4 linked regions of the Rhinolophus ferrumequinum genome follow. The protein of the gene in region 4 interacts with the protein of the main gene of each other region in a pairwise test. Links are inferred from orthologs where the notes say so. Each region holds a gene or a part of one and is shown on either strand. Other genes may lie near its edges.

Region 1 (6,970 bases), on a different chromosome or scaffold from region 4:
GCACAGAGCACTTACAATGGACCCAAAACCGTTTGGTATTATTAATACAAAGAAGTACAGTTCCTGTCTCCTAGAAGCTTAGTCTCACTAGGGAAACAAGAATAACAAAACAATTAAGGGACAATATACATGATGCATGAACAAGCATTGGATATAAAGGATACAAGAGGGTCTGACTGGTGTGAATCAACTGGTGTTACTCCCAATTATACCTCAAATTTTAAGCTCCCCAGAAAGCCTTCCTTGACCATTTCAGCAGGAATGACCATCTCCGTCTTCTGGACTGAGTGGCACAAATCCTCTAAACCATGCAATGAATGCCTTTTGGCATGCATCTACCCTGTGGTATCTCTACTCCTATTTCTCTAAACTTACAAAAAAAAATCATATATATATATATATGTGTGTGTGTGTATATAAATATATATACACACACACACATATACACTTTTTACAACTTTTCACCCATTTTGTCTCCCTACCTAGATTGTAAGCACCAAACACTTTAAGGTCAGGGAACTTGACATATATTTTAGAAGGTAACTTAGAAATCATCATGTATGAACACTTTATTTTACAACTAAGGAAATAGAGGCCCAAAAAGAAGGGATTTTCCCAGAACCATACAGCTAGTTGAAGGCAGGGGACTAAATCAATGATGATATGAATACCTGTGTGACATGGTATGTTGGAAGTCCAACAATGAGAATGCATAAAGTGAAAAATAAATAAAGATCCACAAATACACAGAGTGCAAAAAACATTCTCTGTGGGATGGTTCTAAGTCGCCCATCTGTACCCAAAGGACCTAATCCACTCCTTCCTCTGCATACCCCAGAGTCCCTATACACTGTTCCACTTCCAAATATTACTGTCCTTAGCCAATTTGAAGGCAACCAGCAAATAATGGGCCCCAGGAGGAAAGGTGGGGGAAAGGGAAGAGTCTCGCTGTTAACTATGATTGACAAAACAATAAATGAATACCGACAGACACAGATACATGCTCACACCACGCAGAAAACGCTCAGCAGCACTCATCCAGTCTTCCCTCCTTCCCATCCAGTACTAACCCACCTCACCTGAAGTCTCCCCATATTCCTTTATATATATTTTTCCCATGGCCCTGAGCTTTCACTTCTCACAATCCCTCTGCCTGACAGAGTTCTAAAGGAGAACAAAAGCAAGCAAACAAAACAAAAGAATTCAAAAATAAACACCACAGAGGATCACTGTACCCAAGTCAACAGAAGTAAGAGTGGCCTCTGCAAAGGAGACCAAGAAGCACACAGTAAACACGCCAGGCTTAACTACAGCTCCGTCTCTAACACAGGAAGTCAGGCAGAGCCTTGAAAAGCAGGAGCAGAGCACAGGAAGTCTCTTAGCACTGCAGAGATTTCCAAGAGTGGTGTAATGGAGAGAGCACAGGAATAGGAATTAGAAGAGTAGGCTTCCAGCTCTAGTTTTACTACCGAGCTCACTGGGTGGCCTTGGGCAAGTCACTAGTCTTCTCGTGACTTTTGAGTCCCCATCTATAAAATGAGATGGTTAAAACATTTGGGAACTTGAATCCAATCCAGAAAAAGAAAAAAAGAAATTATTGACTTCCCCCCCTAAAAAGTGCAGGTAAACTATTTTGCACAAGTCTTCCAAGTCTACCCAGGTTTAGAACCCCTGGAAAAGATGACGTCGCTGGTCCCTTCTAACATTCTATGATTCTAAGAGAATTAGGCAGATGTCTAAACAACTGCTGGTACATTAGCACCCACCCCCAGCCACCACCACCACCACCACCACCACCATTTCATAGCAAGTATTTTCTGAACAAAGACCAAATCCTAAAACTAAAGCTTATCAAGATTTCACATTCTTCCTCAAATTACAAAGTCAACTGACATCATTGCTCCATTTCCCATTCCTTACCCACATCAATCAGCTCATCCTTGACTCCACAACTCAGAATCCAGGCTTCTAACAGCCCTATACCTGTTCTTTCATACCCCAAAACATTACAGAGCTAGTCGGTGCCCTAGCTATGGAAGAGGCCACTGGCAAAGTCCAGGAGGGACATGCCCTGCGTCTCTCTTCAGACTCATTAGCATGTTTCACAAAGTTAATGCGACGGAGCACCACGGTGTCCCCACAAGACTACCACACGCCGCGTACTTCTCACATTCCTGGTGGAACTGATTTAACCCACAATCGAAGCCACATCCCCTCTGGGCTCTCGAGGAGTTTTCTGGCCTTTGATTCCTCTCTTTTATTATGTGCCACTCCCCTTCCCCATCCCAGTGTGTGTCCCCGGCTGCCAAAAGGTACTCCTCCTCGGGAGGTGTCCCACCACTGTCCCCTCGTCCTCGACTCAGTCCAGCGGCTCTCTGGGCTGCAGACCCAGGATCTCCCGGCTTTCACTCCACCCCAAGGAACTAAGGAAGGGTTGGAAGAAATGGAATCCATCTCAACCATGTTCGATTTCCCCCCGAAACCCATCCACGCGTCGTGTCCCCTTGTGCCCTCAATAATCAGGACCCTCGTGGGCACGCCAGGGTCCCCCGGCACACTTCGCCTCCAAGCCGGGGCTCGCCCCACCTTCCAAACAGGCCACGACCGGCCCCCTCCCACTTCCAAGCCAAGACCCCGAGGCCCTCCCCTTTCCAAGCCCCGGGAGCCCCGGGCCGCCCCCCGGGACCCGCGCCGCACCCCCGCCGTAACCGGGCGCCCGTCCCGCGCGGTCACCTGCATCCCGCCGCCGCCGCCGCCGTCGGCCGCCGCCTCCTCGGTGCGCGGCCGCTTGCTCAGGCCGGGCTCGGCTCCGTCTCCTCCCCCACCGGGCACCGGCAGCTCCAGCTCCGACTCCCGCTTCATCCCCCGGGCAGCGGCGCCGGGCCCGAGCTGCGATGGCTGTTGCGGCTGGGTGCCTTCCGCCATCCGCCCGCGCCCCCCTCGCCTCCGGGAGCCGGGCGACCCGCGACAGGCCACCTCCCCCTGGGCCTCGGCCCCGACAGTCGCGACAGGCGGGCGCGCGCCTGCCCCCGCCCCCGCGTGCGTGCGTGCGTGCGCGCGCGCGAGCGCGCGGGCCCGGCGCTCCTCTGCGACTGGCGATCGGCGTCCTCGCTCGCGCGGTCCTCGGCTGTGGGAGGCTGGCGGGTCGCGACGGGCACTGGCTCGCGCCCCCACGCGCACACGCGACCCACGGCCTGGCCCGCCGCGCGCCCCGCCTCACACTCACGGAGCTCGCCCGCCGGCCCGCGCCCGCTCCCTCACACTGTCCCTCACAACACGCCGGGCCGAGGGAGGAAAGGGGCGGTCCGGGCTCCCGAGCCTTGGGGAGGGGTGTTTATTTGGGGGGAGGAGGGGCTCGAGGCCGGAACGAGCTGACTGGCCGGGATCCTCCGACCCGCCACTGTGGCAGCACCGGGAAGGCGGGGAGAGAGAAAGGAGGAGGGAGGGACCGGGATCTGGGACTCCAGCCCGCGCGGGAGGCTGTGGCGGGGGTGGGGCGGGGAGGGCGTGGCGGGGGTGGGGGCCGAGCCTGCGGAGGGGGCGTGGCCAGCTCCCCTCGGCAATCTCCGCCGCCTCCTCTCCTGGCGCCCGAGGGAGGCCGGGGAGAGAGCAGGACAGTTCGGGAGTCTCCGCCAGCGGCGAGGGATTGTCCTGGAGGCACCGTGCGGCTGGATTTCCAGCTAGCGCGGAGGGGGCGGAGTCTGTTTCCTCTAGGGGCGGGGCCATAGCCTAGGACAGGCGGAGCTTGAGAGGCCCGAGGGCCCCGTGAGTTCCCGACTAGGGAACCGGCACTCTGTGGGAGGGGGCGTTTAGCCTGCTCCCTCTCCCGCGGAAGAATGAGGATCTCGATTTGGAAGGTCCAGGAATGAAATCACCACTACATGGCTCTCCCCAATTCTAAAAGCTTTGACTCTAATAATAATAATTATCCCATTCCTGATCATCTTAATAATAACACCTGATGTTTGTAAGAGCTTGCACAATGCAGTTTGCACAATGCGTTCACAGACCCGTTTTGAAGCGATGGTATGAGCAGAGTAGATACCAGGAACTCCTTTACGTTGATGATGAACGTGAAGCTTCGTTAAGTCCTGGAGCTAAACAGTGGCAGATCCAGCTCTCAGGACATCAGATCATCTTTTCTCTACGCCTTGCTGCCTGTGTAACACTTTGTTAATTTCAACTTTCTGCAATTAGAGATGCTGTGCAACAGCTTCTTTCTCCTACCAGTCTGTAAGGACCAAAAGGGCATCTATTTTCTCTGGGTTCCATATTGTGCCCTGTACGTTACAGGGATATAGTTATGTTGCATGCATGACTTGGATTCTACAAACGAGCTTCATCTCTTTGGACCCCTGACCATCATTTGTAAAATGGGGAGATAGTTTAGATCAGCGGTTGGCAACCAGGGGCAATTCTGTCCTTTCCCCTCTCCTCCAGGGCATTTGTCAACTGTCTGGAGACATTGTGGGTCATTACAACTGAGGGGTGCCACTGGCATCTAGTGGATAGAGACCAGGGATATTGTTCACCATGCTTTGATGAACAGGACAGTCCTCACAACAGTTATCCACCCCAACATGTCAACAGTACTGAGATTGAGAAACCCTGAGTTACATGATTTCTAAGGTCATTTCCAGATGGGTCTAGGAGTTGTCCTTTGACTTGGGTTTAACCCGCTGAAACAGTACAATGGTAAAGATCCTTGCTTTGGAATCAGACCAACCAAGGTTTGAGTCCAAGCTTTCCCATCTACCACCCATGTGATGTTGGACCAGTGATCATTTAAGAAGTTCTATATAGAAGGGGAACAGGGCCTGCAGACTGTTTGGAAGGGAAGACTGAAGGACTTGTCCTGAAGCTGAGTTTTCCTAGCTCATTGTTTTTTACCTAGTCTGTGTCCTAGATCAATAAAAATAGCCAAGTTTTGGCTCTGCCCCTGAACCAGTCATGATGCCGTGTGAAAGCTACCTAGCCTGTCTATGCTTTAGTTTCTTCATCTGAAAATCAGGATAATAATACTACCTTCCTGAAAGGGTTCTTGTGAGGATTCAATGAATTATCACACATTAAGAACTTCGAACAGATTGGCCAATGATAAACACTTAATAAATGTTAGCTATTATTATTGTTATTACCATTATTTTATTCACATCTTAAATGTGAGCAAGAAAAATATTCTTATCAAGATCAAAGGATATCATTATCACTACTACTGGTTTTTTTTTCCAATTACATAAAGTGGGGGGTGGGGGCCTGCTAGAGATTAAGATGGGCTGACAAATCACCCCAAGTCACCCCTTAGTGCAACAGCTATATTAGGCAAGTCATTTATTTTCACTAAACCTTACATTCCTTGTTTGTAAGATGACAATACTAGTTACAGTGTTGTTCTAAGGATTAAATGAGACAAAATAAAGAACAACAATGTAAATAAATTAGGTGATAAATATTGACCAGAGCACGGCGTCGAACTGCTTAATAAGTGGTCAATATTTATCACCTAATTTGTTCAGTGATGCTAAGCCGCTGGTCAGGGGTTCATGCGGCTGGAAAGAGAAGCCCAGGCAGCTTCTACTACTGCCATTCGGGCCATCAAGTTGGAAGTCCAAGTGCCTGAAAGGTTGTACTTGAGCTAAATTAGTCCCAACCTACGGCAGGGATCTCCAGTTGGCAGTGCCCCCTGGGCAGATAGGCCTTAATCCTGTGCAACCAAGCATGCGCATTATAGCTCTAAAGAAAAATCAGGATGTTTCTTGGTGGTCTATGGAACAACAATGGCTTCTTTTGTCTAACCTAGGGACGTCAGTGGTTGGTTTTCTGAAATTTTTACTTATTAAGCTGGTGTCTTGAAAATTCTTCTCCCCTCCCTACCTGCCTTGCCAAAATACTAGAATTTAAATGACTCTAGGTCCTTCCTGGGCTGCTCCACGACCCAGCAAGAAATGAGATTTGGTATCAGGGCTGCTTGTGACTCAAATTATTGTAAGTCAAGTAGCACACATTTCCCTGAGAAATAGAGCGATGTGGTACAGGAATGTTTGAATGACCAGGCAGAACAAAGAGAAATTGAACCTTGTCCTGTAAACAAGCATTAAGCTTTTAGAGAGAGCTTGCGAATAGAAGCCTATAAATAGTAGAAGAGGCCAAATGAGCCTATAGTGACACAAAGACCAGGATCGTTTCTTTCATGTACATCTGCAGCCACCTCTGTGGGAGCAGGTGGTTATAAAATATTACAGAGGAAGAAAACAATTAAAGAATATTTTCCTAGAAAGAATTTTTAGCTGCAGAAATTATTGAAGTCCTAATGTTTATTTATTTATCCACTTGACAAACTATGGGCAAAAGTCTGGGATATCAAAAAGAATAAAATTGATTCCTGGTACTGAGGAGCTCAGTCTGGGAAAGAAAGGATGAACAAATAAAAAGACAAATACACACCAGAAACTAATATAAAATATTGAATGTCAACTGTAATTGAAAAATTAAATACACAGAGAGTGCCAAAAAAATGTATACACATTTTAAGAAAGGAAAACTGTATTAAAATTATTCTACTCAATATATACCAATAACAAAAGATGAATACAAATTACGTTTGATTTCTGCAACTACAAGGGTGCTCAAAGTGGTTCCCATCGGCATCCAGACACTTCTGCATTACGGCAAACTACTGCCTGAGCAATGTCGACCAAAGTGTCCACTTGTATACACTTTTTTTGGGCACCCCAAGGTTGTGTATGTGTGTGTTTTAAGAATTACAATGCACCATGAGAAGGAGGCATCTCTCATAGCGGTTAAGAACATGGACTCTGGTATCACACATGGGTTTGAGTATGACTTGGCCATATATTTGACCTTGTACAAGATCCTTACCACCTCTTAGACCCAGTTTCTTCATTTGTGTGGCAAGCACTGGTAGTTCCCAACCCTTATATCCTCTTATTCCTAATCAGCAGAACCCCCA
Region 2 (6,829 bases), on a different chromosome or scaffold from region 4:
TGTCAGGCGTCTTCGCCTCCCCGCACTGATACTGCCCTGGGGACCCAGCAGTGCCCGGAATGCAATCAGCGCCAACCACATATCGTCTAAGTGTTCCAACAAGTAGGTGACTCAAAGAGCTTGTGATAGAGACAGTAAATAATGACGTTTTCTCCTGATACTTTTAGTCTCCCTTTTCTGAAGCTTGAGACTATGTAGCTGCCTATATGAAAATGAGGAAGTGAGAGCAGCTTATTTGTAAGCGACTCCTTGACACTGTCCCGGAGTAAGAAATCCTTTCCTCCCGTCTCCCTGGAGTTTCTCTTGCACTGAGGCTTGGCAACTCCCAGAGAAAACCTTCCTTTCTCTAAATGTCTGCCTTTTGGACAGCCTTAGGAAGTCATACTAAGGAATTAAGAGAGGGAGAGAAAAAAAAACAACTACGATTTCCTCTATTCATTTGAATAACTGGCGAATTTGAGTGAAGGAAACATTACAAGTACTGTTGTGTGGATCAAATTAAAACTGGGGCAGTGGCCTAAGGAAGTATCATTTGGAGGTGGCATTGCTGACTGCAGGCTCCCTGGCACTGTCTCTGCTCCCTGCAGGGTATGTGCACCATGCAATGAAGGGTCCTGGTAGCTGAAAGTCAGGACGGTGGTCCTTGAACGTGCATGTGATGTAGACACTCAAGCGGCTGAGTGCCCAGGGATTCTTGTAGAGAGAGGAGGGTACTTCCCCACCCCCACTCCTCCCATTTACCTATGTAGGAGAATCGTTTGGGAGCTGGTAACATTGATGTGGCTCTTCCTCAGTCTCTGTTGAGGTGGAATTCAAGTTCAGCATCCCCAGATGCTGCAAAGGCTGGCAGAGTCCTGTCATCAAGTAAACAATAGTCACAGATATGGCGTTACCACTTGGTCTGGGGTCATCCAATGATTAAGGCCCACTGATATTAGCCACTGTTTGCAGTTGCCCTGTGCATGGGGTGTGTACTTGTCTCTGCATAATCGTGCTTGCATGCACTTGGGCAGGGATGTTCGGACTTGGCTCTGTAGAGAATGGAGGCTGGCCCGGAACCGGTTGGAGATTCATTTACAAGGTCTGGATTCCGTTGTCTCACTTTGCAGACTTCCAAGGCATCCGACTGTGAACACTTACATTGAAGCGAAAGTCTGAACCCTTATTGCAAAATGGGTCTGTAGGAATCCAGTCACCACTGAGGGTTTAAAAGTTTGGGGAGAAAACGGACTGGAAAAACCAGGTTTGGCTCAGGGCAGTCGAGAACAGTTATTGGCTCCTTACATAATGTATTTGTTTTTCATCAAGCCATTCAGATAAGGTCTTATTAAAGTGCCATGTATTATTTATTGTGTTTCTCGTGAAAATGAGCTGAATGAAAGGAAAATTCTGTCCTCTTTTGGGGGCATTTGCAGGCTTTCCCAATGCCAGTGAGAAAAACAATAAAGGAAAGCAGGGCAAACCCCAGTCAGTACAACGAGTTGTTGGAGGCAAAAGGAAAGAATGGGAAAGGGAGAGCAAGGATTGACCGTTTATTCCATCTGTGTTTTGTGGAGTGCCTTTCACTTTGGTTTTGTGAATTGCAAAATGAGAAAAACAAAAAATGAAAAACAAAAGCAAATAATGAAAGACAGAAAGGAAAGAAAGAAAAAAAGAGAAACATTTTATCCGCAAACCAGACCTTGTCTGCTGAATGTGATGTCTGAGACAACATATATAGCAAGGATTTTTCAAACTAACTACTGCCAGCCCCCCAAAAAAGAACCAGCATAAAATACCAGCCTGTACTCCCCTAACCCCCATCTCAACTTTCGCTTGGGCTTAAATGTGCTACTGTGCTCCTTCTAAATGGACAGGATGCGTGAGTCCCATCGTGTTGGAGGGACTGTTTGCAAGGGGAGGAAGTAGAAGGAAACTGCCTTTTTGGGGCCTAGTGTTTGGCAGAGTGAAGACTTTATAGTTGTTGATGACGTTTGCAAACAGAAAAACAGAAAATGGAGCTGCGGAATCATGAATTTCCTTTCCTTCAGAAGGCATTTTGATTAGCCTGCAAAGTGCCTTGCGAGCTGATGGCTCAGTTCAGAAGCTGTCATTTGGCTGAATGTCCCAGTAAGACACAGGAAGGGGTCAGCTGGGCTGCCCTGTGGCCATTCCCCAGTCCTGCCCTAAACGCTCTTTCCTGAGGGTCCCCGCACTTTTAGGGCATCTCTGTCCTACAGGCCTTTGGAAAGCCCGCAGGGAGACTTCTCGCAAGGAACCTAACAATCAAAGGCTGTTCAGACAGCCTCTAGCTCTGAAAAAGCAAACGAAAATCCGTTCACTGGGTCAAAATCTATATCACAAAATATGGCATTATCCCTGATCATGGCTTGACGGCCGCCAGGGACGTGCTTTTTTTTTTTTTTTTCCTGTGGGGACCCAGGACGTGGTAGAGTCTTAATATTTTCTTTTGATTTGCAGATCACATCCTATTTTATTGCCAAAAGACTAAGGAAATCTACTAATGAATAATTATTACTTCATAAAATAAAGGGGAGTGGGGACCGCTCTGCAGGAGCAGCATGCTGATTTGGCCGAGGAGGGCTGGACAGGCAAGAAAAAAATGAAATAAATAAACCATGTCATTTGCCCGCTGCAGCCCACAGAGTAGTCTCTTATCAGACGCGGACTTACCACCCTGTGCATTTATAATTTGAGAAGAGTGGGATTCTAGGCTGCGAGAAGCCCCCCTTGCATTCACCCCGGGCTGGCACGTTAGTTAGTCCAACAGGCTTGATTTCCACGCCATCCAGGGCGGTTTCTCCCGCTCGGCGGCTCCGGGCTGGTTGGTGTGCCGGCTGCTGCCCGCCCAGCTGCGGCGAGGCGCGCAGGAAAAGCTGCGCCCCAAATGCTTGGGGGTGCATCGCTGCCGCGGCCGCCCTGCCAGGGGGTGGGGGCCCCAGAAACCACCCTACCTCGTGCGCCAGCAGCCCCCGCTCCCCGCGCCCCCGGCCCCTAGTGTCCTCGCAGCACTTTACGAGGGGGAATCCCATTTGTGGGTTGATTTGCGGATGAGTCGGGCAAACAAATCGCCACCGAAATCTAAGACTCTGGGTCCCAGCTGGGCGATCGCGTGAATTGTCCGGCTCGTCTGGATACTGGCGATGTGGGGCGCTCGCTCGCTGGCTGCCTCGCCCGCCCCACGGAGATTTTTAGCAAACACAATTTGAATTTTGGTGAGTCGTTTAAAAAAAAAAAAAAAGGCAGAGGGGAGGGAAAAAGGAAAAAAAAAAACCCAACCCTGCCCTGGACCCATTTGACAAATGAGAAGGCACGCAGCATCTGGACCAACGGAGTGAGCCTCGGTGTGAGTCAAATCTCTCTCTCTCTCTCCCTCTCTCTCTACCCCCCCTTCTCCGTTCCCCCCCACCTGGCCCTTAGCTCTGTCAACCCCCCAACTCAGCATCTACAGAAGGGCATCCACCCCCTCTACCTTTCACTGAAGTTGCTTTTGCTTGTTCCTGTCATCTTCTGGGGCTGGGGGTCTGGAGGGCGGGGGCACCTGCCACTTTAAGAGACATCACAAAGCAGGCCCAACAACCACACTCACACAGACACACACACACACACCCCAATAAAGCCATGAAAGAAACAAAATAGTTTCCTGCCCCTCTCAAGTGTCTTAGTTGTTGGAGGCAGATGAATGCTGGGATCTAGCAAACCCAAAGGGAAGAAGGAAAGCGAGGGAGGGAGTGAGGGAGGGAGGGAGGGACACGGGGTGCTGTGGGGGGGTGGGGTGGGGAGGGAGGGTGAGAGAGAGAGAGAGAGAGAGAGAAGAGCAGAGAGAGACAGCCACCGGGGTTTGACTTAGATAATCAGCAAAATTAAAAAGGGAAAAAAAAAATTGTAGCGACCAGGCAAAGAACGGCGTGATTGCATGCGAGCGTCCCCACTCGTGCTCGGCGGGCGCCAGAGAGACAAAATGCAGCATCCTCTGACGGGGGCCACCTGCGTGGCGCTCCCCAACGTGGGCATGTGTCCCCAGCTCTCGTGTGCCTTGACTTTTATGTACTTACAGCAGGTAAGGCACGCGGCTTTCCCGTGGACCTGCATCGCTTTGGTACCTTGGAGGGGACCGGGGAGGGGACTCGTAGGTTTGGATGGGAGGGGTGCATCGCAGCCCCTAGTCTTCCGAGGATCCCTGGTACCCCGCGCCCAGCTGTTTTTGCACCTCTGTGACTACTTTGAACGCCTGCTTCCGCCGAGCTTGGGTACTGGGAGTTTAAAATTGCAAACCGCCTGCTCCTGACTCCGGTCTTTCTCGCGCCAGTGACCGACCCGTGGTGATCTGGAGCTAAACCCTTTGATGCTGAGTTTGGAGCTGTGTGGAGGCAGGCGTGTGCTTGGAGTTTTAATTTAGCGGCTTTAATAGGGAGGGGGAAAAAAGAGAGAGAGAGAGAGAGAGAGAGAGAGAGAGAGAGAGAGAGAGAGAGAAAGAAAAACCCACATACGTATGTGTGTGTATGCTCAGTCTTTTTGTTTTCTTAAGTTTGTCTGGCTGGTGCTATATTCAGTTGCTTTTGGAATGGGAGCCTTTGGGTTTCTGGAGCGTGTCAGCCCCAGAATCTGCCTCCACATTCTTAGGCAATGCTGTGAAGAAGAGCTGTTTAGGGTGCTGTCTTTGTTGCTATGTGTAAAGGCTTTTTTTTTTTTCCTTTCCCTCCTCCAATCTCCCTTAATGGTCTTGCTGAGGGATTCTGTGTTTATTTTCCATTCTGTGTACATTTCAGAATCTTTCATTGTGCGTCTCTCTATCCCTGGGTGTTTCCCTTGGACCTTCCCTGTCTTCTTTTCCTGATTTATACTAGGAAAGCTGCCACCTCAGTTGATTCCTGGGTTTGGGGAACAGCTCAGGATTGCCTTGGGGGTAGGTGACATGTGGCTTTTCCTCACTGGACAGGGGCTGTGGATGTGGCTGGCAGCGTTAGAAGGATTTTGTCATGCAGATGAGAATCCTCCAGTCCTGGGATTCCTGTCCTTCTGGATGAGGAGTTAGCAGTGATTATAGTCCTTTTATCTGTTTTCTGATGGAGTGCCTTCAAGAGTTAACTATGTGTGCTTGTGGTCCACTAAACTTCCTTTACAAGTGTGCAGAGGGGACCTCCTTCTCCAAAGAATCTCCATGTCAGTACCATGTGTGGTAGGAAGACATGTATTCATAAAATGCCGAGACTCTGTTTAGAACATTTAGGGAATTGGGGTTCAAGTTGGTTGCCTCCAGAAAATGTTTTTAGCTGTATTTTCTGTTGCAAGTCTTGTTGAGAACAGCCTTTTTTTTTTTTTTGGTGTGTTGTTTGAATATTTTGGAAACAAATTGCTTTATTCTTTTAAATATTATTTTGGTCCATTTCTCATTAAGTAAATTGTGCCAGGAAACATTTCCCAAAAACCTATTGGTAAGATATTAGAGGATTCATCTGCTTTTCCATTTCTGTGCCCTTTGCTGTGAGCGCCGTGTGTGTGTGTCTGTGTGTGTGTGTGTGTGTGTGTGTGTGTAGTTACCCACCAGAAGAGTATCCTACTGAGCATTTCTATAGCTGCAAAGCCTCAATTGAATTTAATCTAAGTATTACTATGAGTTGATCTTTGACATCCTATATTCATTTCTTTCATGTTATTTATTAATCAATTGGAATAGCATCACCTAACAAGGAGAGCTGTAGGTCTGTAGTGTTCTCACAGTTTCTTTATTCATTATTATTTTTAAATAATGTTTCTTCCTTCTAGATCATAACATTGGTTTGCCCATTTAGGTACAACTTAGGAAAGAATTCAGTGACTTTGAGTGGGAGGTTATTCTTGCCACGGAAAGGACAAGTATATAGGATAAATGCAGGAGTTCTCAGCATCTGCCTGGCTGGCTCTTCCAGAAGGGAAAAACGGTCCTGCTCTGAAAAGGGGAGATCCAAGGGAATGGTGGCAGCCATAACAAGTCCTTAGAAGTGACTAAATCAGCATCATGGTGCCATATGCAGAGACGGAGGTGGATTTTATGCTGTGGAAGGCAACCCCCTCTTGAAGGGGATGTGATGCTCTGAGTGGCACAGTGGATACACTGACACTGTGACACACGTCAGAATGCAGTGTGTGTGTGTGTGTGTGTGTGTGTGTAGGGGGTGCCTGTGTGTATGTTTCTGGTGTTTCTCTAAATGCCTGAAGAATAGTACCAGCAGACATTTATTTTTGCCTGATTTCGTGAGAATCAGGTTTTCTGGCCGCAGCTCCCAGCCTTTCTAAAGGCTTCCGGTCAGGATAAGAGAGCCATACCTTCAGGTCATCTCTCCCAGCCATTGCTGTCATCACAGTTTGTACAGAAGCTCATGTCATTGTTTTTCGTTAGCAGTCCAGACCATTGGCTGAGTGAGGGTGTGAAATAGTTCACTTGAATCACCACAAACCACTTACAGATACAATCTGTACACCATTCATCTATACAGGGCCACTGTATTTCCTATCTGCTGTTAATCCAGAAAGCTATCATTGTATCTCTGTTTAATTTTGATGATTAGAAAGTTCATCTGTAGTCTCAGAGGAAGCTGATCAAGTGGATGACTCAGGAAGCCTCTATGATAAATGCCGTCTCCTTTGGAATCCTTTTATTATTATTTAGAAAGAAACGTATTTCAGGAGGCTTTGCCATCCAGATCACCAATTGCATAAGAGAATAATTAAGACACAGCTGTCTTATTTCGGAGCCTTTATCGTTCTGGTTTCTGAATGCATGAACTCTGATTGGGGGCCACCGAGTCTTCCCCGAAATATAATTTCCTGGAATGAAGTTTCATATGGT
Region 3 (7,110 bases), on a different chromosome or scaffold from region 4:
GAACATCCTAGTTTGTTTACAAACCAAAGAGTCAATTTATAGAACATCAATCTCATCATAGCAAGATGGACAGAGATAGTCATAAAATGAGAAAGAATGAGCGAACGATGTCACCTTAAGTAAACTGATTTTCAATGACTTCTACCCTTTGCAGTCATGCAGTCATCTTGAAATGGAGCTAATCACTTTCTAAGCCTTTTCTATGTATTCGATCCAGGACCCCCAAGACATTAGGTACGATCATCTTTCTATTTTCAGTGGGGGACCTGGCAGAGGCACATGCTAGATTTTTGTGATTCTCATCCCACTAGGCTTGGCAAGGATGGCAGAGAAGAATGGAATGAGGGAGTGGGCAGGAGAATTTCCCCAGTCTGTACAGTATTATCTGGAAGCAGGGAGACGAGGAGGTTAGAAGGTGAGTGTGATTCTCTGGAAGAGAGTAGAAACGAATGATGAAACTTCAGTGGTTTCGTTAGATTGTGCAATTCACCAAGATGCCTAGTGGCTATTCAGGGAACCACATGAAATGCAGGAAAAACTCCTGCTGTCATCCTGCCAGGATCATACCACACACCGAGAGATAAGGAAGTACAGAAACAGGAAAACACTGGGGCATACCTCTGATTTATTCTCCATTGAAAGAGGGCTAAGAGGACCAACTAAAACACCCACGATGCAAATTATAGGTGCCTTGGCATTTTAAAAGGGAGGGGGGAAATCTCCCAGAACCCAGAAACTCTTAAGCCAAAATGTCACAGTAATATTTTATCATCTGACTAATGTGTATTCATGCCAGGTGGCACACAGCAGCATTCCAAATAAGAAGTCTGACCTTTTAGGAACGATAAAATGGCATCTCCCCCAAACAAACATGCACAAGCAATTCCTTGCAGCACTGTTTCTTATAGCAGATGTTGAGCCCACAGGCTCTGTTTGTGCGACGAGAACTCCCCGGAGATGACAGCCAGACGCAGGCACTCACCAGCTTGTAAACCGCTCTGCAGGGCCAAGAGTTTCTGCTGCTGCTGATCAATTAGGTTTGTTAGTGCTTTCACATGCTTCAAGGTGAGTTCAAGAACCACTGCTTTCTCCAAGTGACCCAAAGTCTGGAATCAAAAGAGCCTCCGTCAGCAATGAGCTCAGACAAGTCCCACCTCTCAGACACTTATTAGCAATGAGAAATGTCTCTAAAGGAAAAAAAAAAAAAAGAACTAGCCTTTCCTGGCTAGCTAAATGTAATTTAAAATTTATAGATTATATATATATGTATATATATGTATATATATATACACACACACACATATATATCGGATTAAAGAATAAAAAAATGAGTGCCACCTATCTTTGGAGGCATTTTAGAAGCAGCGGCTACCTCAGGAAAAAATCTTTGATAGATAAATTTCTCCAGCAGTGGCTGCTGACCTTAACTCGGGAATCAAGTGAACATTTCTCTGCAGTGGTGTCAGCCGAGGAGGGATTTCTACTGTGTCTTACAGCCAAGAGGTTTTCCCTCGTTTCTTTCCTGACACCCGTTCATAACTCCCAACTCATCCAGTCTTTTTTTTTCCTCCTCAAATACTATTTTTTTTTCCTTTCCCCAACCAAAGTCTGCCAAGTTAGTAAGCTGTAGGCTACTCCCAAGAAAGGACAGGATGTAAAAATCACACACCAAAACAAGTCCTATTACTTAAAAAAAAAAAAAAAAGGAGAAAAAGGGGTAAATAAGATCTGTGTGTTGCTTGGTTTGCTCAAGTCAGGAAAACTCGAGAACCCTGAAAATCACCACACGGGAAAATCTAAAACTCTGGAAAAAGAAGGCCAGCTGGTGTTGGAGGCAACTTGGAGAAGTCCAAGCGGTTCTCACCTCCTCTGCGTGAGGCTGCCAGAAAATCCCAGGGCTGGGGAAGGGTACCCCCAAATAGAGCCACCCGGGCTCCGATCCAGCTCTCTACTCGGCAGTTCCCTGAGGGGCCTGCAGTTCCCGGCTGGGCCTGCAGGCGGCGAGTGACCCCCGCCCGCCCTCTGGGCTGAGGAGCCAGCCTGGAGAGCCGCCAGCTTCTCACTTACTGTAAGTTTGAGATGTTCGGGTAGGAGATCCTTCAGCTGGGCGATGCACTCGTTAATCCGGTCACGTCTCTTTTTCTCGATGAGCCGGTGCGGCAGTTTGTATGTCTCCTGCAAGGCGCACGGGCAGGCAGTGGGCACCAAAGGAAGGGGGTGAGAAGCCCCTCTCCTTCCCACCCCGGTGCGCGAGAAGAGTCGGGGCAGCGTAGCAGAGTCACACCCAGAACCGCCTCTTGCCCCCTTTTCTCCAAGCCACTCGGTAGAAGCGCCGAGCCCGCACCACGCATACCCCTCCAGCCTCAGAGTGAGAAAACTTTTCTTGGAAACTCAGCGCATGCTAGGGGCTGGGGTCCCCAGGGGCGCGGGGCTCTTACCTTGCTGTCCTCGCTCCGCTTTATTCCTCGCCTCGACTTGTACACTTGGTACATGTGGGCGAAATCCATCCTGCAGGGAGAGGGGCCAGGAAGGGTCGTGAGTTTGTGTGAGCCCGGGTTGCAGAGCCTGGCGGGCAGGAACCCCCGGATGCGCCCAGAGCTGCTCCAAGTAGAGCGCCGAGCAGAACGCGGGGCTGGAGTTGAGGCTTGAGGGGCCAGGGGTGCCCACTTACCCTGGTAGGTCTCCAGGTTCCAGTCCTGGCGCCTTGGGCAGGCAGGCGGGGGGCGGCTGCGCGCTGGGGATCCGCTCCATGGCACGGCGAACCGGGGCCACAACGCGCTCCTGTCTGCAGGAGATCGTCGGGTGAGGACTGTCCTGGAGGGGGCCTCGGAGCTCTCTCCGCAAGGTTTCCTCTGAATCTGAGCTCCCTGAAATCCGCTGGCTGCCGGGAGCTGCGGCTACGAAATGCTGCTGCTTCAGTTGGGGGCGTGCATGGTGTCCCCGCGGCCTCTGGCTCCGACTCTGCGCACAGCCTGGCGGTGTGTGCTCCCTGTGCCGTCTGCGCCGTGAGAGCCAAGTGAATGAGAAGTGGGGCGGGCGGGGAGGCGGGAGGGAAGCGCGGGGGGGCAGTGAGGGCGGGGAGCCGTGGAGTAATGGAGAGGCTGCGGGCTGGGTTAAATGGGAGCGAGTGGGTGGGTTGGAGCTACGTGTTCTACCCTGTGACTCCAGGCACGTCTGGCCGCTGCCGGGGAGGGAAGGAGCGACCTGCCCGCCCTCCCCCGGCTTCATCACATGAGTCTCACGTGTTGGACAGCGCTCCCGCGGCGGCGAGGGGCCCCCACCCCCAGTCCCGGCCCCCAGGTGTCTGCGGTGCGGCTGCCTTTCCCCGAAGAGGGGGTGGCGGCGCGGCCTGGGTCCTGCCCAGCCGGGTGAGGGGCGCGGAAGCTGGAAGGGGAGCCGGGGGGGAGGTGTGTGGTAACGTGGGCGAACCTGCCCCAGGGAAATGAAGTAAGTTCCCGTCTCCTGGGAGGGGACGGGGGAGGACGGATCCGCCCGCGTCTGACTCAAGCTGGGAGAGGAATATCCCCTCGCTCGCTCCAGCCCAGCCCTCTTCCTCCTCCCCCGCCTGGCCGCTCGCAGGAACCCGCGCGCTGCAGAGGGAGTCGCCCGGCCCCATGCCTTCCCCAGAGGCTGGGGTTTCTTTCCGTCTCAGCTTCCCTGCCCCCACCCCGCTGCCCCGCGTCCAGGAATTGCCCGCCGTGGGGAGGGGCCGAGGGGCGGGGCGGATGTCACCCCATGGGAAGCCGGCTGGTGGCCAAGCGCAGGGGCAGCCGAGGCCGCCGGCGTGCACGCTGCGCGCACCTGACCGCGGAGCGTGTGCGCCGCGGTCCCTGGCTCCCACGAGCTCCGCTGGCGGGCGTAGCCTGCAGGCCGCGGGCACCCACGTGCGCACCCCCCGGGTGCCCCCCACCCACTTCACTAGTCAAGCACAAAAAGACACCCGGCGCGGCTCCCTTCCTTTCCTCCCTCCTCTGCCCCCTCGGGAGCAAGGCTCCCGGGCCGCCTCCCCTCCGGCTGCAGAGTTACACAACCGCGCCGGTGACGCCTGCCCTGCAGCGGCCGGAGCGGGACGCTTCACGTGGCTAGGGCTCGGGCCGCAACGTCGCGGGCTGCACGGCCCTGTGCGCGGCTGGGAGACCGAACCCCAGGACTCGGTGTGCCCGCCGGGTCGGCCAAGTCTTATGCCTGCCAGGAACTTGGCGGCGCTGTGTGCGGTCTGCGCGCAGAACCGGAGGGGGGAGAGGCGAGAAGCCTGCCCGTCACCGTGAATCGTAGCATTTACACGCGTCGTTGAGCGAGCCCCCTACTCTGTGCCCGGCGTTGTACCCGTTGTACAGAAACTGGGGGCATCAAACACAGATTCTGCCCCTGAATTTACAGGGAATTTACAGGAACCGCTGCGAAGAGGACAGATTGGGCAACGAGGGGAAGGCAGCCTGGGAAAATTATATCGGGGCCACTGGCTGGTAGAGAAAATAATTTCTCCCCTCCCCCCGTTTTTTCTTGCGGCGTTGTGGTTTTGTTTTATAATTTTATTTCATACGAACTGAGATGCCTGGGTAGAGGAGGAGTGGAGAAGCCCGGGGTCCAAACGCCCCCTCCACGCGCCCCAGGTCTCTGCCATCCTCCGTAGGCCGCTCGCCGAGGCCCCCACCTCGTCACCTCCCCCGGAAAAGTCCGGTCTCTGTGACCTTCTCACTCGACCTGGAGCAGGGAGAACCGCTCAAAGGCCAAGGCAGCGGCGCGAGTCCCGCTGATGCAGTCGGAGGAGGGAGCCAGTGGAAATTCATGACTAAAATAAGGCCCGGCGGGGATTTCACTGACCTCTGCGCTGCCCTGCCCCGCCGCCCGCCCGGGACTTGAGAGATGACTGTCAGCCTTTCCCCCGCCTGGGTCAGTCACCCCGCCGCCGAGTGACCTGGCTGTGGGAAAGACTGCAAAAGGGGGGGGGGTCACTGCTGGGCTGGGTCCAGATGCGCCTCGGGTGCGCCGGGGGGAGCGGGGAGGATGTCGGTCTTAATTGGCAATGACCTTGACAATCCAGAGAACTGGGCTTCACACGTTGACCAAACTGGGAGTGGATTTCCTTCAGGCCGCTTTGGAGAGCTCCCACTTCCTGTTTATGTTTCACGAGCGTCAGGCTCATTAACAAGTGTGAGAAATGCCTGCTTTTCTAACTGCTGACTGGCATGACCTCACTTGGGGGCTCAGCGATCCCTCCCTCCCTCTCGGAATGTACTTCTGCTGGCTTTTGTTATCAGCCATCTCTCTGGAGGGAATGACTGCACCGCCACTTCCTGCCAGGAGGTGGGCAGCAGAACCACAGGCCAAGGAGGCGACTGGAGTCTGTCCTGCGTTTGTGCTTTCAATCTAGGGTGACCTGCTCTGTTGTGCGACCTTAATAAGGATGAAGAGTTGTCATGACTGCGTCAGAACCACAATTCCACCAGGAAATAAGCACAGCGGGGAGGAAGGAACACATGTCCCCCTCAGCTGTCCCCTGCTTCCCCCACGACCGCCCCCCCCACGCCAGGAGTGAACCCACAATTCTCTGCTTCCGTGGTTCAGGGCTCTGACAATTTTCTTAGAATTCGTTGAAGTTATCAATATTTCTTGCCCTTACTTGATCTACAATTGAAATAACAAAATATATGCATTTCCTACTTTTTATTTGTTTCAGCTGTACTCTCAAGCTTCAAGAATTATCCTCACTCTAACGAAGTTCTACCATACCCAGATTTTATTATTTTTTAATCTGTTTTCTTCTATCAATAGCTTATGATTTTTTTTTTAACTTTTATTTTTTAAGTGTGTTTTTCCAGGACCCAACAGCTCCAAGACTAGTAGTTGTTTCAATCTAGTTGTGGAGGGCGCTGCTCACAGTGGCCCATGTAGGGATCCAACCAGCAACCTTGTTGTTAAGAGCACAGCTCTCTAACCAGTCTGAGCTATCTGGTCGTCCTATGATTATTTTTTATCAAACAAAACAATTCCTTCCCAGCATGCATCTTTCCATCCTGAAGAAGCTCAGTATTTCAGTTTGTCATCCTATATAGATATTTGTTTAGTGCTTATTGTGTGCTAGTTTTTAGACTGTATATACAAACTTTGTACATGTTAATCCATTTACTCCTCACTACCACCTTATAAAGCTCATTTTCACATCTATAGCACACATACTGATTGAGAACCACTGTGTGCCAGGTACTGAACTAAGTCCTAGGAATATAGAATGTGTTCCCTTGGGCAAATTGAGGCTTGGGGCCGATAAATAACCTGCCCCAGGTTATACAGCCTGGAATTAGAATTGGAATTGACCCCAGGTTTGTTGGGCTTCAAAGCTTGTGCTTTTAATTACTACACTCAAGGCTGCCTGATAGAGTTGTGTGGGTTGTGCACTGCTCAACTCCAGGGGGAGCCGTTCACATTGCAGAGCACCCTCTAGAGTTGTGCAATGTAGTACTGACCAGCTGCACTGGGTAATCCTGACATTTTATAGCCCTCTCTCTGTTTTGTCTCTTCCAAGTGTAGAGAGAACATAATTTTGTACAAGGCAAGGACCGATTTTTCTTTTCTTTCCTTGTGGGGCTCAGCGTTTTGGTTGGTTATGCTGTGTGTTGGGCAGTCTATACCGTTACTCTCACAGCCCCCTGAGTGTACTCACACTTCTCTTGCTCAGATATAATTTTTTGCCTATTTATGGAACTTCAAAAAATTTTTTTAACCCCTTAATTTCCTAAAGATTTTGTTAATGGACTCAGAGAATGTAGCTCATTCGGTATACCTGATCTAACATTGTTATGATAATCCTTGTTATGATTTCATCCCTTTTTAGAATTTGCTGAAATGGCTTATACTGGTTAAATTAGCAAATGCTAAGGAAGATTTATTGATTATGAAACAGGGTTCTTTAGAGGATTTTAAAGCATTGCAAAATATTTTGGATTTTAAGCTATTGCTAGTAGTAATGTGGTGAACTTCTTTTTAAAATAATTTTTTATAAATAACACTGTGTATCCTAATGCATTTATCCCAGCTGTTAGAATTCATGGGGATGCTTTCTATGTATAGTTCTAAAATATTTTATTTTGACATAGCTTTAGAGAATTT
Region 4 (7,708 bases):
ATCCAAAAAGCAAATAGAACACCTAATTATCTCAACCACAACAGACCTTTTCCAACACATATTGTATTGAAGCTGTCAAAAATCAACGACAAAGAAAGAATCCTCGAAGCAGCCAGGGAGAAGAAGACGGTAACCTACAAAGGCAACCTCATTAGCATATCATCAGATTGTTCAGCAGAAACTCTACAAGCCAGAAGGAAGTGGAACCAAATATTCAAACTATTGAAAGAGAGAAATTATGAGCCAAGAATAATATACCCAGCAAAGATATCCTTTAGATATGAAGGAGGAATACAGAACTTTCCAGGCATACAGAAGCTGAGGGAGTTTTCTAATATACAATCTGCACTGCAAGAAATACTAAAGAAGGCTATTCGACCACCATCAACAGGGACAACGTGTGCCAACCAAAACATGAAAAGGGGGAGAGTAAAGGCCTGAACTGGAACATGGGAATGGAGAAAGTATGCATGCTGAAGAAAGTGGAATACTCTAAATATCAAACTTTCTTTTACATAAATTTAAGGGTAACCACTCAAAAAAAATCCAGAACTATAATATATACTGTAATAAAAGAAGAAACAGAGGGAAGCATCATAGAATATCACCACACAGAAATAAAAGACAACAATAAAAAAGCGAAGAAACAATGGAGAAACATTCTTACCAGAAAACTGAAGGTAAAATAATAGGAAATCCTCACATATCAATAATCACCCTAAATGTAAATGGACTGAACTCACAAATAAAAAGCCACAAAATAGCAGATTGGATCACAAAACTAAGCCCAACCATATGCTGTCTCCAAGAGACACATCTCACGTACAAGGACAAGTGTAGACTCAAAGTGAAACAGTGGAACTTGACACTCCAAGCAAATGGTATCCAGAGAACATCAGGTGTAGCTAAAGTTATATCAGATGAAACAGACTTCGAGGTGAAAAAGGTAACAAGAGACAAAGATGAACATTTCATAATGGTAAAGGGGATTACACAACAAGAAGACATAACAGTCATCAATATTTATGCCCCCAATCAGGGAGCACTGAAATATACCAAACAACTACTAACAGAAATAAAGGGAGAAATTGACCAAGACACAATTATACTGGGGGACCTAAATACATCATTGACAGCTATGGATAGATCATCCAAACAGAAAATAAATAACAAAATAGCAGTCCTAAAATGGCACATTAGATCAAATAGACATAATTGACATATATAGAGTACTTCACCCTAAAACATCAGATTATACGTTTTTTTCTAGTGTACATGGAACATTCTCAAGGATGGACCATATATTGGGACATAAAACTAGCCTCAGCAAATTTAAGAAGATTGAAATCATACCAAGCATATTCTCTGATCACAAGGCTTTGAAATTGGATGTCAACTGCAAAAAGAAAGCAGGAAAAAACACAAAAACATGGAGATTAAACAACATATTTTCTTTTATTTGTTGTTTTTGGTTTTTTTTTGTTTTGTTTTTTAATTTATTGGGGTGACAATTTTTAGTACAATTACATAGACTTCAGGTGTACAATTCTGCATTACATCATCTATAAATCCCATTGTGTGTTCACCACCCAGAGTCAGTTCTCCTTCCTTCACCATATATTTGACCGCTTTACCCTCATCTACCACTCCCCTCCCCTCTTACCCTCTGGCAACCACTAAACTATTATGTAACTTTACTAACAATTGTCATCCCAATAAACTTTAATTTTAAAAAATCATATGATTATATCAATTGATGCAGAAAAAAAATTTGACAAGATACAACATCCATTTATGATTAAAACACTTAATAAAATAGGTATAGAAGGAAAAAACATTAACGAATAAAGGCCATATGTGACAAACCCTCAGTTAATCTCATAATTAACACTGAAAAACTGAAGCCCATTGCTCTACGTTCAGGAACACGACAGGGCTGTCCCCTATCACCTCTGCTTTTCAACATAGTGTTGGAAGTCCTTGCTAGAGCAATCAGGCAAGAGAAAGAAATAAAAGGCATCCAAATTGGGAATGAAGAAGTTAAATTGTCACTCTTTGCAGATGACATGGTGCTATATATAGAAAACCCTAAAGACTCCACCAAAAAGCTATTAGAAACAATCAACGAATACAGTAAAGTTGCTGGCTACAAAATCAACGTACAAAAGTCCATTGCATTCCTATATACTAACAATGAAATCTCAGAAAAATAAGTTAAAAAAATTTCTTTTGGAATTGCAGCAAAAAGAATAAAATACCTAGGAATAAACTGAACCAAGGATGTGAAAGATCTATATGCTGTAAACCATAAAACATTTTTAAAGAAATTGAAGAACACACAAAGAAATGGAAAGACATTGCGTGCTCATGGATTGGAAGAATCAACATAGTTAAAATGGCCATAATACCCAAAGCAATATACAGATTTCATGTGATCCCCATAAAAATCCCAATGACATTTTTTAAAGAAATAAAACAAAAAATCTTCAGATTTGTTTGGAACCACAAAAGACCCCAAATAGCCAAAGGAATCTTAAGAAAAAGAACAATGCTGAAGGTGTTACACTCCACGACTTTAGCTTGTACTACAGGGCAACAGTAATCAAAACAGCATGGTATTGGCAGAAAAACAGACACATAGACCAATGGAATAGAATTGAGAACCCAGAAATAAACCACATAAATACGGACAGATAATTTATGACAAAGAAGTAAAAAACATACAATGGAGAAAACACAGCCTCTTCAATAAATGGTGCTTGCGGAATTGGAAAGCCACGTGTAAAAGAATGAAACTGGACTGTTATCTGTCACCATGTACCAAAATTAATTCAAAATGGATCAAAGACTTAAGCATAAGACCTGAAACAATCAACTGCACTGAAGAAAACATAGATACTAAACTTACGGATCTTCGGTTCAAAGAGTATTTTATGAATTTGAGTCCAAAGGCAAGAAAGTAAAAGTTAAATAAGTGAATGGGACTATATCAAACTTAAAAGCTTCTGCACAGCAAAAGCAACCATTGACAAAATAAAGAGGCAACCAACTGAATGGGAGATGATTTTTGCAAACAGTGCCTCCGATAAGGGGCTAATATCAAAAATATACAAGGAACTCATGCAATTCACAACAAAAAAACAAACAACCCAATTGAAAAATGGCCAGAGGACCTGAAGAGACATCTCTCCAGAGAGGACATACAAATGGCAAATAGACATATGAAAAAATGCTCAACATCACTAATCATCAGAGAAATGCAAATAAAAACCACAATGAGATATCACCTCACCCCAGTCAGAATGGCTATCATCAAGAAGAGAAATAGTAACAAGTGTTGGAGAGGCTGTGGAGAAAAAGGAACCCTCATACACTGTTGGTGTGAATGCAGACTGGTGCAGCCAATGTTCATGGCATCTTTATTTACGGTGGCCAAGAAACGGAAATAACCAAAATGTCCTTCGATAGATGAATGGATAAAATAGTGGTGGTATATATACACACAATGGAATACTATTCCGTGGTAAGAAAAGATGAAATAGGACCATTTGTGACAACATGGATGGATCCTGAGTGTATAATGCTAAGCGAAATAAGTCAGACAGAAAAAGCAAAGAAGCATATGATTTCACTGATATGTGGTATATAAACCAAAAACAACAAAAGAACAAGACAAACAAATGAGAAACAATAACTCAATAGACACAGACAATAGTTTAGTGGTTACCAGAGGGTAAGGGGGGAGGGGGGTGTTAGATGAGGGTAAAGGGGATCAAATATATGGTGATGGAAGGAGAACTGAATGTGGGTGGTGGACACACAATGGGATTTATAGATTATGTAATACAGAATTGTACACTTGAAATCTATGTAACTTTACTAACAATTGTCACCCCAATAAACTTTAATTTAAAAAAAAAATAAGAAGGAAACTTAAAGTCTCTTAGGAAAGAAATCTTGGCCTGTATCAAAAATAACCACAAAAGAGAAGGACTGGAGTCCTGATTTTGAGCAGAATTGGTTTTTGTAGGTAGTGGCAGCACGTAATTCAATATTGAACTTTTAACCAGAGAAAGGATTATTCTCATTATTGTACTGAAACTTTTTTTAAGCTGTCATTTTCTTCATTTTTTTTCCTTTGGTGGGGGGTGTGGAAGTATCCAAGAATGTTTTCTAAATGAGTTCCCATTTATTTATTTGGAATTTTGAGTCTGGCATGTAACTCTTTGGATACCATTCCAAGACAAAAATGATTCAGATTTAAGATTTTTTTTTCAAAAAGTTGAAATCAAAGTATGCTACTAATAAAAATTAACTTTATTTCCTAAAATGGTATGCCAGAAAACAGTGACCCGGTATGGTAAATATGAAACTGCAGACATTCAAGAATTAAGGGACTAAAGGCACGGGAGGTATTTAAAAAGCTGAATCACAAGGACAGGTGACAGATTGGATAGGTGGGGTTTGACAGAGATACTGCAGAGTGCTAGGATTTGAAAAAAGTTGACTGATTTCCAGCCGGTTTACATCTCTATCCAGGTTCTGATCTGGTGAGAGAACCAATGAGATAAAGTCTTGCAAGAGCTTGCTAGAGAGGCACAGGAAGCTGCCTGGAGTGAAAGTGCGGGGGTGGGGGTGGGGGGTGAGGGGTGAAGGGTGAGGGGTGGGGGTTGGGTGGGTGGCAGCAGAAGCTAAAGCTTCCGCCAAACAAAAGAAAATACCACTTCCGGTCATACAGTAGACGCGTCGCTGGCTTTCTTCATCAAGGTGAGTGTAAAGAAAGGGACTGGTAATTCTCACAGTGAATGCTCAAACATGCCAAGGAAGCTTTCCTCCTTGCTTCAACATGGGGTGGAAAGAAGAATTCATCCCCACAGTATGGAGGATATTCCTGATGGTTGTGGTTCTGATTGTCTCACTATCTCCTCTCTTAATCCTCCGGAGATGGCAGGCCGTTATCCCCTCCCTCTTCTGACTTTTGTGGTACTTTTATCCCTCGTCACTCTTCACATCTCCTCTTTATCCTGGATCCTCTTCCAGATCTTTCTGAGCCTAGTTCATTCCCTGTACCACAGATTTTTCCTATCTCTTACTCCTACCTTCTACTCAGTCCCCTTTAAGCCTCAGAACTTTTGCAACCCCCTTCCCCCACTCTGAACCTACAGTCTTCCCTTTTTCCCCTTCTGACCCAGTATTTTATCCCATTGAAGGCTTCTGGTCTCTCCTGAATCTGCCCTGCAGAGGTAAGTGAATTACATACTGTAGAAATTGGGTGTGATTTCAATTTCAAGGTCAAGAGTATTTTCTTTTAAAAAATACGCAAAGAAACAGATTTTAGAGCCCTAAGAGACAAAGGGGAGGTGTTCAAATTATTACGTCCTTTTATTTATATTTTTACTCTAAAAAAACACACATCAGATATTGCACTGGTTTCAGTTGTCTAGTCATGACTTTTTAAAAAAAATGTAAAATTTTGGCATAGAACTGAATCCCCAAATTTTTATGGTATTGCAAACATAGCGTGTTTTGCCTAAAACCTGGTGTCAGCTTTAGAAGATGGAAGATTTCCCACCCCTTTTATAACCTCTCATAGAGCAAAAAGGTTGACAGATATGACATCCAATTACACATGTATTATTTCATGAGTCGGGTTTATTATGCAAATCCTTTTCTGGTCTCTGGTAGTAACATTGAACAGCAAACTGGAAGAGTTTTCAAGTATTTTTTTCCCCAAGAGTTTTGCAAGTATTATCTGTTTTGTTGCATTGTGAGCTGTCTTTTTTCCCCATTTGTTGCAATGTGAAATGTATTTTTCTGTTTCCTTAACCATGTGTAATTTATCTGATGAGAACCCTAGTTAATAATCACAGTTTATTATTTCAATTCTTTACCCAAGAGAAGGGAAATGATCATTAAATTTATAATGATGTTCAGGGTTTTTTCAGGCTCTAAAGGAGAATTGAACCAAGAATCTCCTTGAACAAGCATTTATTCCTCCTCTTCTAACTAGTGTGTTATGTTTGCCAAAATAAGAGGTGATTCTTTTTTCTAGGCCAGGTATAGTTTTCAATTCCTTTAGAATAAACAATGAGGCAGAGATTTTATGACGCCAAAACACTTAGGAACTTTTTCAAAGGGTATTGCTGATGTCTCTTTATTCTCTATTGAAGTCATAATTATACAGTTTTAGATATCATCACATTGGCTGCAACCCACTGTGCATGCATCCATCTATTCATTCAGTAATTTTTTTATTGAATAACTTTTATGTGTCAGACAGTGTTCTAAGCATTGAGGCTACAACAGTGGAAAATAAAAACAAAAATACCCCATAAATTTGGGAAAGTTTTGTTTTCATTTGTTTCAAGGTAGTTTTTGATTTCCTGGTTTTATTTTCTCTTTGACCTATTGGTTGTTTAGTAGCATGTTGTTTAGTCTCTACATATTTGTGTGTGTGTTTCCAGTTTTCTTCCTTTACAATTTATTTCTAGCTTCATGCGATTGTGGTCAGAAAAGATTTCAGTCTTTAATTTATTGAGGTTTGTTTTGTGGCTTAATATATGATCTATCCTGGAGAATGGGCCCTTGAAAAATCTGTATCCTGCACTTTTTGGATGAAATGTTCTGTAAATGTTTATTAAGTTGATCTTGCCTAATGGGACATTTAAGGCCATTATTTCCTTATTAATTTTCTGTCTGGACGATCTACCATTCATATGGGTGAGGTATTAAAATCCCCTGCTGTATTGTATTACTGTGAATTTCTCCCTTTATGCCCATTAACATTAGCTTTATATATTTAGGTGATCCTATATTGGATGTGTAGATATTTATGATTGTTAAATCCTCTTCTTGGATTGACCCCTGAAAACAAAGTTTTCAAACTATAGCTGAGAGACAGACAATAAATGAATATATATTAAATATGTAATAGGTTGTGATGGGGAGGGGCTGTCCTATTTTAGGTAGGATGGTCAGGAAGGCCTCCTGGTAAGGTGACATTTGAGCAGAAACCTAAAGGAAGTGAGGGCATGAACTATACAGATATTAATGGGAAAACAGGATATGTCTATGCCAGTGTCTCTGCATTTGTTGTTCACTTTGCTTCCTGCACTCCCCACTCCTCCACAGTCACTTTTCTGCATAGTGTTAAGCAACACTCTGCATAATCAACTAATCTAATCCACCCACATAATTTCCTCATATTCTCTTTTTCCTAGTTAGCTTCTTGCTACCATTTAGGTGAAGAGTGAGTTACCAGCCCCAGTAAGAAGACATGTATCTACCTCCATCCTCAGTCTGTTTCTTTGTGGCACACTGTGTGCTATCCTACAGCATATTTACTTACCTCTCTCATTGCTCTTATCACTGTGTGTTCATTATATGTTGCCCATAAATACTTGGTATGGTAAATGGAAATGAATTCAGTGCTTGTGTGTAACAGACAAGCTTTTAAATATAGTTGGCCACCTAGTGTTAAAAACCACCCTCTGAGGTCAGTATTATCATTGTCATTTTACTGATAAAAACAAGACTCAGAGGTGGATAGTAACTTGCTAAATGGTGGTGGAATTCATGGAGTTAGGGTCTGTAAGATACTCATTCCTGGCCTGGTTCTTTCTTTCTATCTGTCTTTCTGTTTATTAATAACAAATAGAAAATATATAGACTATTTTATTTTATTATTTTACAAAACATAATCTGGGTA

The links.
Region 1: the proteins of MAGED1 (region 4) and RBFOX2 interact in binary tests that used the Homo sapiens proteins (3 or more experiments, as listed by UniProt). The two-hybrid records come from large-scale screens. The link is inferred for Rhinolophus ferrumequinum from reciprocal best matches to the Homo sapiens genes MAGED1 and RBFOX2.
Region 2: the proteins of MAGED1 (region 4) and RBFOX1 interact in a two-hybrid assay, tested with the Homo sapiens proteins (2 studies listed by BioGRID and IntAct). The link is inferred for Rhinolophus ferrumequinum from reciprocal best matches to the Homo sapiens genes MAGED1 and RBFOX1.
Region 3: the proteins of MAGED1 (region 4) and BHLHE40 interact in binary tests that used the Homo sapiens proteins (3 or more experiments, as listed by UniProt). The two-hybrid records come from large-scale screens. The link is inferred for Rhinolophus ferrumequinum from reciprocal best matches to the Homo sapiens genes MAGED1 and BHLHE40.

What each region holds. Positions count from the first base shown.
Region 1 is NC_046293.1:10,469,449-10,476,418, reverse strand, and holds the start of RBFOX2 (RNA binding protein fox-1 homolog 2), read right to left. Parts: upstream 3,018-6,970; 5' UTR 2,926-3,017; coding exon 2,734-2,925; intron 1-2,733. UniProt on the Homo sapiens protein: RNA-binding protein that regulates alternative splicing events by binding to 5'-UGCAUGU-3' elements. Prevents binding of U2AF2 to the 3'-splice site.
Region 2 is NW_022680357.1:7,883,624-7,890,452, forward strand, and holds the start of RBFOX1 (RNA binding protein fox-1 homolog 1), read left to right. Parts: upstream 1-3,819; 5' UTR 3,820-3,916; coding exon 3,917-4,060; intron 4,061-6,829. UniProt on the Homo sapiens protein: RNA-binding protein that regulates alternative splicing events by binding to 5'-UGCAUGU-3' elements. Regulates alternative splicing of tissue-specific exons and of differentially spliced exons during erythropoiesis.
Region 3 is NC_046300.1:4,920,340-4,927,449, reverse strand, and holds the start of BHLHE40 (class E basic helix-loop-helix protein 40), read right to left. Parts: upstream 3,018-7,110; 5' UTR 2,752-3,017; coding exon 2,672-2,751; intron 2,509-2,671; coding exon 2,439-2,508; intron 2,176-2,438; coding exon 2,068-2,175; intron 1,107-2,067; coding exon 983-1,106; intron 1-982. UniProt on the Homo sapiens protein: Transcriptional repressor involved in the regulation of the circadian rhythm by negatively regulating the activity of the clock genes and clock-controlled genes.
Region 4 is NC_046284.1:83,519,908-83,527,615, reverse strand, and holds the start of MAGED1 (melanoma-associated antigen D1), read left to right. Parts: upstream 1-4,696; 5' UTR 4,697-4,767; intron 4,768-7,708. UniProt on the Homo sapiens protein: Involved in the apoptotic response after nerve growth factor (NGF) binding in neuronal cells. Inhibits cell cycle progression, and facilitates NGFR-mediated apoptosis. May act as a regulator of the function of DLX family members.